2 linked regions of the Drosophila melanogaster genome follow. The protein of the gene in region 1 interacts with the protein of each later gene in a pairwise test. Each region holds a gene or a part of one and is shown on either strand. Other genes may lie near its edges.

The links.
Region 2: the proteins of Fur1 (region 1) and Rassf interact in a two-hybrid assay, tested with the Drosophila melanogaster proteins (one large-scale study listed by BioGRID).

The regions. Positions count from the first base shown.
Region 1 is NT_033777.3:25,471,329-25,475,249, reverse strand, and holds the start of Fur1 (furin 1), read left to right. Parts: upstream 1-2,191; 5' UTR 2,192-2,768; intron 2,769-3,921. Other genes in the region: Vps33B (vacuolar protein sorting 33B), read right to left, coding at 1-1,081, 1,146-1,464, 1,522-1,622, 1,678-1,734. UniProt on the Drosophila melanogaster protein: Furin is likely to represent the ubiquitous endoprotease activity within constitutive secretory pathways and capable of cleavage at the RX(K/R)R consensus motif.
Region 2 is NT_033777.3:23,115,946-23,119,866, reverse strand, and holds the start of Rassf (Ras association family member), read left to right. Parts: upstream 1-1,935; 5' UTR 1,936-2,328; coding exon 2,329-2,368; intron 2,369-2,442; coding exon 2,443-2,537; intron 2,538-2,603; coding exon 2,604-2,786; intron 2,787-2,852; coding exon 2,853-3,041; intron 3,042-3,094; coding exon 3,095-3,921. Other genes in the region: CenB1A (centaurin beta 1A), read right to left, coding at 1,026-1,078.

The sequences.
Region 1 (3,921 bases):
TGGGACAGGTCTGCAAGCCACTGGATTGGCTCTTGGAGGAGGAACCTCCATCCTGACCATCTCCACTGGAGGTCAACAGCTTTAGCCGATTAGCATTGGCCTGAAACTCCGTTTGCTGGAACTTGGGCAGAGGTAGATTTGAGAGCAGTTTCGTTGGCGCCTTTTTCTCCACCACAAGTGGTGGCAACAAGCCCGCCTGCGACAACTGCTGGAACACGCCCAATTCCTGGTGTCCAAACAGATTGCAGTAGTTCCGCGCAAATATCTGCAGCTCCTCGGGCGCCACGCCAACGCAATGATGCAAGAGGCACAGCAGTCGCAGTGTATTAAATCTCTGACCATCTGTGGTCAACAGCTCGTCGATCTCGCTTAGCAATCGCTTTCTTGAATCATTGTTTAGTATGTCCTCCTCCAGCGTTTGGAGCTTCCTGAAGTTACCCATCATTTGGATCACAATCTCGCTGGCATTCAGATGCCTAAGGACTTTGCTCTTAAGCTCGGTTAGTTTGGGTAGCTTCCTGGCCACATAGTCATGCATCTCGTCCAGCTGCATGTCATTGAGTTTCTGCAGTTCCAAGCCCAGGGCTTTTACTTGTGCGTGAATCAAACTGCTGACCTGAGCAAATCGTTTGTACCGATTATCGCCGTAGATCTCATCGGATGTGGAGTTAAGACGAATGGAACACGGCTTGCTGGCTGAGTTTACGCCTATCTTGGATTTCTTTCCCTGGAGTAACTCCACACGCTGGCTGCGGATCTTGTTCTTGGAATTGTCTACCAGAATCTCGCCAGAACTATGCTCGAAAACTTCCAAGAGAAGACCTGCATAGATGGCCGGAGTGAGCAAGCTGGCGGGGTAATCCTTATCCCGATCGATGACCAGCCAGCCGCCATAGTCTGGAGGATTTGTGGGCGCCGGAAGTTTGCCAAGAGTCTTCGCCATTTGCATTAGCTGCGACGAGTGGTGGCCAAAGCTCAGAATCAAAGACGGTTGTCCGCAAATCATCTGAAGCAATCGCAGGCTCTGGGCCACCGCAGGCAATGGAGATGTGTTCTTCTGCAGGTAGAGACACTCGTAAAGCTGAATAATAAGAATATCCAGTATAAAAGACTCTTTTCTGAATGTTCAATGTACATCTACTCACATTGGGCAGCTCCAAGCTGAGAACTCCCTGATCAAAATAGATGAAGTCCCAGTTAAAGTGATGAAGTTGCACCAGTCCGTACAAACCAGCCTGTTCCAGCAGGGTTTGAAAATAGGAGTAACAACTGGGCACACAGACTATGTGATACATTTTCATGGAGATGTCGGGCATTTCCTCTGAGGCCACGGGTTGCAATTGCTTGAGAAGTGTCTGAAATGTACCCAAAACACTGCGGATCATGTAGATGTGCACCTGATCGGCGGATCGGGGCAAAGATTGTGCCGCATCATGTTTGTAGATCCGTTGTATGCCCTTCAACCTGTTAAGGGGTATATATAAGACGTAAATATCCATAAAATATGGATTAAACACCTACTTCAGCCAGGAGGCAGTGACAACATGTTCCAGTGGCTTTATCAAGTCGGGCTCCAAAATTAACTCCTTCTTTCCAGGTATGCTACATAGTATGGAACAAAGCTGCAGTCGAATTGCAGGTAGTTAATAGTTTCACTCTTCCGATTCATTATTATACCTTTTCTTGTGCCACCAACTGGAATCCCTGCAGCTTTTTGTCCAGCGTCAAATCCATTCTTCGCCGCACAACACAAACAGCTGATGCAGCAAGGTAGCAAAATGTAAGGTGACGCACGCAAAATAAAATAGGGTTGTCACAAAGCAAATATATGCAGTTTTTATTACGTAAATGTTTATCGCAGTCAAAAAAGCAGTATTACTAGTTATTCTATACAATACATTAAACAAAAGCTATACTCAAATTAATTATTTTGAACTTATGCTACTACTGACGTCACAAAGTGTTGAGTCACCATTAAAAGCATTAATTGTGCACAGTCTTAATTCCTGCCGATCCAAAACTTATTTTCAAAGTTCGAGCTATCCGGTTTGTTAAACAAAAGTACTTAATCTACTGCTCAGTTTGATTGCATACCACTGTGCGAAGGCTGTTCGCTCACGAACTATCGAACCGGTTCGCCATGCGTTCCCATCTTTAGACGGGTATTTAAGCGCGATTCGCTGCAAAAGTGGCAGTTTCGTTCCAAATTCCGAAGCGAGAGTTTGTCGTGGGAAGTTGTTGCGCGCGCCCTGTTCGCATTTATGTGTTTTTATCGTGATTCCGTCAACCGAAATCATATGTTTTTAGCCAGGAGAGAGACGATTGCCAAAACAGCAGCAAAACGGGCGGAGTTCTGCGGTGGAAAATCGAAAATTAGCAAGCGCACGGAACACACTGTGATTGGAGCGAATTAAATGTGAATCAAAATATGGTTAGCCATTCGAAAAGCGTGTAATAAAATCGTGAAGAAAAACCAGAAAACAAATTTGTTATCGCTCTCTGTCTCTTTCTCTCTCCCATTCTCGCTGCGATTTGCTCTCCGTGTGTTTATGTCTCAGCTGTCCAAGTGTGTGTGCGGGTGTGTGTGACGTATGTGCGTGCAAGTGTTTGTGATTTTATGTTGTTGTCTTGCCTGCTTTCGCGTGAAATTCAACAACAACAACAACAGCAGCGGCAGCAACAACAAGCAAAGCAACAGCCAACAACAAATTTAAATTGAGATTTTCCATATTATCAAAAGTTACAGGCGCCTATTTTGCAGTTATCAGGTGAGCTTGCACTTACATTGTTTATAAATAATTTGGGTTTGGCGCATGTGGGTGAAACTGTGCAAAAATATGTGAAATATTTAATCTAATGACAAAAATAGCCGTGCGGTCTGGTTTGTTGTTGTTATTTTGGGCAATTGCAGCTTGTTGCATGTTCTCGTCTTCTCTTTTGTGCCGCAGATTCGTCTCTTTTTTACCGCTCTCTCCTTCTCACTCTGTCCTGCTTGCAGTTGTACATTGTTGCCTTTGTCAATCATTATCTTTGTGTTTTCGCTTCGTTCTGTTTTTGTTTTAGTGGCTAACATTATTTTCTTATAGTCCGTGTGTGTGTCTTCTTCGCGTTTTCTTTGCGGTTCAATTGTTGTTGCGATACCGGTTTGAGCAGCTGTCTCGCTCGGGCACGCTGCACAGGTTGCTGTTTAGATTACTTTTAATTTTTCTATTCTTTGCGCTCCCGTGCCTTCTAATCGCATCTTCTTCTTCGTGCTCATCTTTCTAATGCCCGTTTCTTATTGTTGTTGTTCTTGTTGCCCCTCCCAATTATGCTTTATTTGTTTGTATTTCCCTCTCTCCCATTAAAAATAAGTTTTTGCCATGGGTTTTATAATTTATTGGCCTTTCGATTTATTTAAAAGTTTAATTTTTGCCCAGACTGTTCAACTTTTGCTAATTGCCTACAAGTTTTAAAAGGTTTTTAAGTAGTTTAGCTTAGAACAGGTTTTGCAACAGTATGTTTTGTTAGGAGAGTCACGTTAGAATGTTTCAACTATATATGATTTTTTTTAATATTTATTGTTTTATAATTGAAAGCATAAATAATGTAAAATTTGCGTTCATATTATTTTTCTTTTTATAATTGTAGGTTTGCTCTCGAAAGTGCGAGAAATTTTAAACATGAATCATCATTTCAGAACTAAACAAATCTTAAGAGATTTGTTTGTATTGCATAAAATACAAACAATTTGATTTTCTTGTGCTGAAATTAGTATTACTGCTTAGTTTCACCATTATATACTAGATATAGAAAAAATCATTAGGATCCGCTTTAGGAATAAATCTAAAAGCAAGTTAATTATCTTTACTTGAAATGAATTTTTATTCCGACTAATGCGACATTTTATTATTACTCATAAGAGTGGTTAATCGTTAGTTG
Region 2 (3,921 bases), 2.4 Mb from region 1:
GGGCATTGCTTTTGTTTTAACTTTGTGTTTATTTTCTTGGACGTACTCGTTCCAGAGGCTAGCTACATGGTAATTTCGAATGGAGGTCTGTCTATTTCAGCAGTCAATTCATTCTGAGAGTGGCTTTGAAAAGTCGTATTCCGTGATAATATTGCTATCATACACAGTTTTCATTTTAAACTAATGGCTTTCGAAAGCTTCATATATCTTCAAATATGTGTTCGTCATTCAAACGATTGAGCCAAATGCACAATGAGTTGAAGTTTTTGATAAAAAATAAATCGTTTAATTCTACTTAAAACTGGAAACTAGTTTAAGCTAGTTTAAAAAAATGCATAACATTGATACATTTTACTATGGTTGCGATAATATCTGCCTAGTTCTGAAGCAATAGAAATGTCCTACTTTACAGATCCTTAGATTTCTTATTTTTTATATGCATGGCAGAAAAGTTCACATATGATTCACATAATTTATTGTAGTGTACTTCGGTTTCGAAACACCAAGGTCAAGTTGGCACTTCCACAAATGATAAAAGAACCGAAGTGCAGGAGAATCCAAGATAGTCTTGATTTCCTGTTTTCTTTCAAGTGAAGCTGCTGCAGGTGCGAAAAAGTGGGGAAGATGTGATGGGGCTGCTGGGCAAACAAGTTATCGCCGCGTTTGTGCACCGTTTTACGAGGGAAAGCTTTTGTCTTTGGACACGATTAGTGGAGAAGCGGCAATTTGGGTGAAATCTTATCAATCAGCGGCGGGCATTGAAGCGTTCGCGGACGGAGACGAGAGCATCGGCAATTTAATTGCGGAAATAAAGGGGCAGGCAGGCACATTCCACACTGCTGACGGGACAAAGTTTGTTCGATGGATGATTAAGCCGCGTTTTCAGGTGGAGCAGGTGGGGCGGTGTTGGGCTGTATCTGGTTTTGGATAGTAACCAGTCACGCTACATGGAGCAATTCGAATCTCACGCCAAATGCGGCTCAGGATGGGCACACAGTGGGGGCGGGGCTGCAGCTTATATGCACCTGAATCTGGGAGAATCCTTCAGGCACTCCTCGAACTCGATGGTGGCGCGCATTTTGGCCACCACGCAAGCAGCACCTAGACTGCACTGCTGGCTATTTCGCTACGCTAATTGAGGCCCGTGAATCTTTGTTGGCCTGTTGCTGCTGCTCTGCTTTGCTTTGCTTTCCTTGCTGAAGTGGGGATTTCGATGCGCGATTTTCGAGGGCGGCTCTGGGAGAAGCTAATTGCGGGCAGCAGGAGATATGGTGATTAGTCGCATCCTTGGCAATCGACGGCTACACACGTTGAGCACTGGCCCTAATTAGCGAAACTCGCCAATTTACGCGATTCGGGGCCGAATTTACCAAATTTACACAGCGCGCAGAGACAACAAATTAAAACGTCTCACTTTCTACTAGAGCAGATCGGTGTGCCCGCACTCGCAGCGAAAACAAATCTAGCAGCGCGAATGGTCACACACTTTGGCGGGCTTATTTGCTTTTGCTCATATCTTTTAAAATTTTAAATGTATTGAATGCTTAGTGTTTTCCTTGTGCTGATTTTCGTTTTAAAACTCGATTAGTTACGAAGATTTCAATTCAAAGGCATAAAACAACGCACATTGACATTGTCAGCACGGTTTATCAGTGTTGGAAACTTTTGTAGCTAAGAAGAAGCTAATTAGGAACTTAAATTCCCTAAAAGAAGATACAGCCCAAAAAAGATTTGGGTTCTAGCCATAATCAATGTAGATGTATTTAAAGTACAAACGATGACAATTTTAAACACCAAAACAAGCAAATCCGTTTCAAGCTACCGCCAGCCAAGTCAAATCTAGCTACAAAACAGATCAGCTGACAGCACCGCTGGATTTTAGGGTGCCCGCCTTGTGCGACAAGAATCCGCGGCCAGTGCTGCACAAGTGCCATTTTTCATTTCATTGTTCTGTTCTCTTTCTGCTGGTGCTGTTTTGGTTTAAGTGCAATTATCCACACAAGTACGCACCGAAAACCGATGCACCTGCACCGTGCACCAAGTGTGGGAGTGCCCAGTGCCAGTTTCATTTATAAAACTATGAGTTTCGCACGGCAACCAGCGCAGCTGACCGACTGACCGATCAGAGTCTCACGTCCCCCCTCGCCTCATGTGTTTACCCCTTGTCCAGCGTTCTATTTGCGTTTCGTGTCCGCTTTAAATCGCCTCATTTGCATACAACTCGACGGCTTTACGTCACAACTCTTTAAAATCGGCGAAGTAGAGGAGGAGGAGTGAAACACGCCCATTCCCGGAGGAAGCATTAGACCGACCTGTTTGGAATCCAGAATGTGGAAGTGCCACAAGTGCGGCAAACCCGTTTACTTCGGTAATGCACCCACACACGAGCGCATTGCGATCCGTAAATAACTTGTAAATTATATTTATTTATGCCCCGCACAGCGGAACGTAAACAATCGATCGGCTACGATTGGCATCCGGAATGTTTGCGCTGCGAGGAATGCGGCAAACGCTTAAATCCCGGCCAGCATGCTGAGGTAGGAGGATCACCTGTTAGTTAGCCGATCATGTGATCTATATAAAGCCTTTTGTTTTCCTTTCAGCACAAAAGTGTGCCCTACTGCCATGTGCCCTGCTATGGCGCCCTGTTTGGACCCCAGTTGTTTGGCCACGGCACCCGGGTGGAATCGCACAAAAGCTATGGGGTGAAGGGAGCCCAGAAGCCAACCGGAGCTCAGGCCAATGGCCCGCCACTCCCACGTGATCACCTGGAGTCCAAACTTAAGGTGCAGAACGCAATACCCAGACATATCAATATCTCATGACTCACCAAATTCCCTTTTAATGGGCAGGTCTACAACCAATTCTACGACAACAAAAGCCTGGAGATACGTAGTCGTGAGGTCAACAACCGGTTGGTGCTGGAAGGCGCGCTTAGAGTTTACTGGGGCGTGCAGGGAGTGATTCATCTCAAGGAGGACGATGATCAGCGCATCTTAGTGCGCAAAAGGAACTCTTGCCGTGTGTCCAAGGCTGCCAATGTAAGCTGAATCTATAACATAACAAAACGTTATTTATACAATTGTACCCACAGGAAAGCAGTTCGGATAAGGAAAACGAAGCTAGCGAATCGCTGGCTCCGCCCACCACCACCACAGCCGAGGTCGATCAACTATCCACGGATGTTTCCCTTTCCGAGAGCATGACCTTCGACTCCTGTAGCCTGAACGAGATCTCCGAGTTGCCCACAACCCCAGAAGATGCCTCGGCCAACACCACAGCCAACAGCAAAGAGCAGACCAATGGTAATGTGTGCAACGACGACGAGGATACGACCACGACGGACTCATCTGGAACCCTGGTGGAGGCTCCTACTGCCAGCACAAGTTGTGTGTCCAGCACATTGCCTTCGAAGTTGGACCGTCTGGAAAAACTGGATTGGGACGACATAGACGATCTGCTGCAGGTAGAGAGACGTCACAACGACAAGGATCGCATTTATGAAACTATGCCTGTCAAACTGCCGTCGTCGCAATCCTCCAGCGACAGTTCGCCCAGCAAAACATCCACAGAGACCACTACGACCACTGAATCAAGCTCGACTCAATCGGCATCAACAAACACCAGCAGCACGGATGATTTTATGACCGCCACGGGATCGTTGACTGCCAACACCAATACGCAGAATACAACAACGGTGTCTACTACTGAGACCTCTCTGGATAACTTCGAGACTTGCGATGACGCTACCCTGAAGCCTATTGATTTCGAGGACTTTAAGCGTAGTGTCCACCAGGACTATGTAAATGGGGCCAACTCCTTTACGGAGCCCAATGAGGGCACCCTTAAGCGTAATCAACCAATTGATCCCTCTCGCATTCACGACTCCCTTAAGCTCTACGGCGAGAATTCAGCGATGAG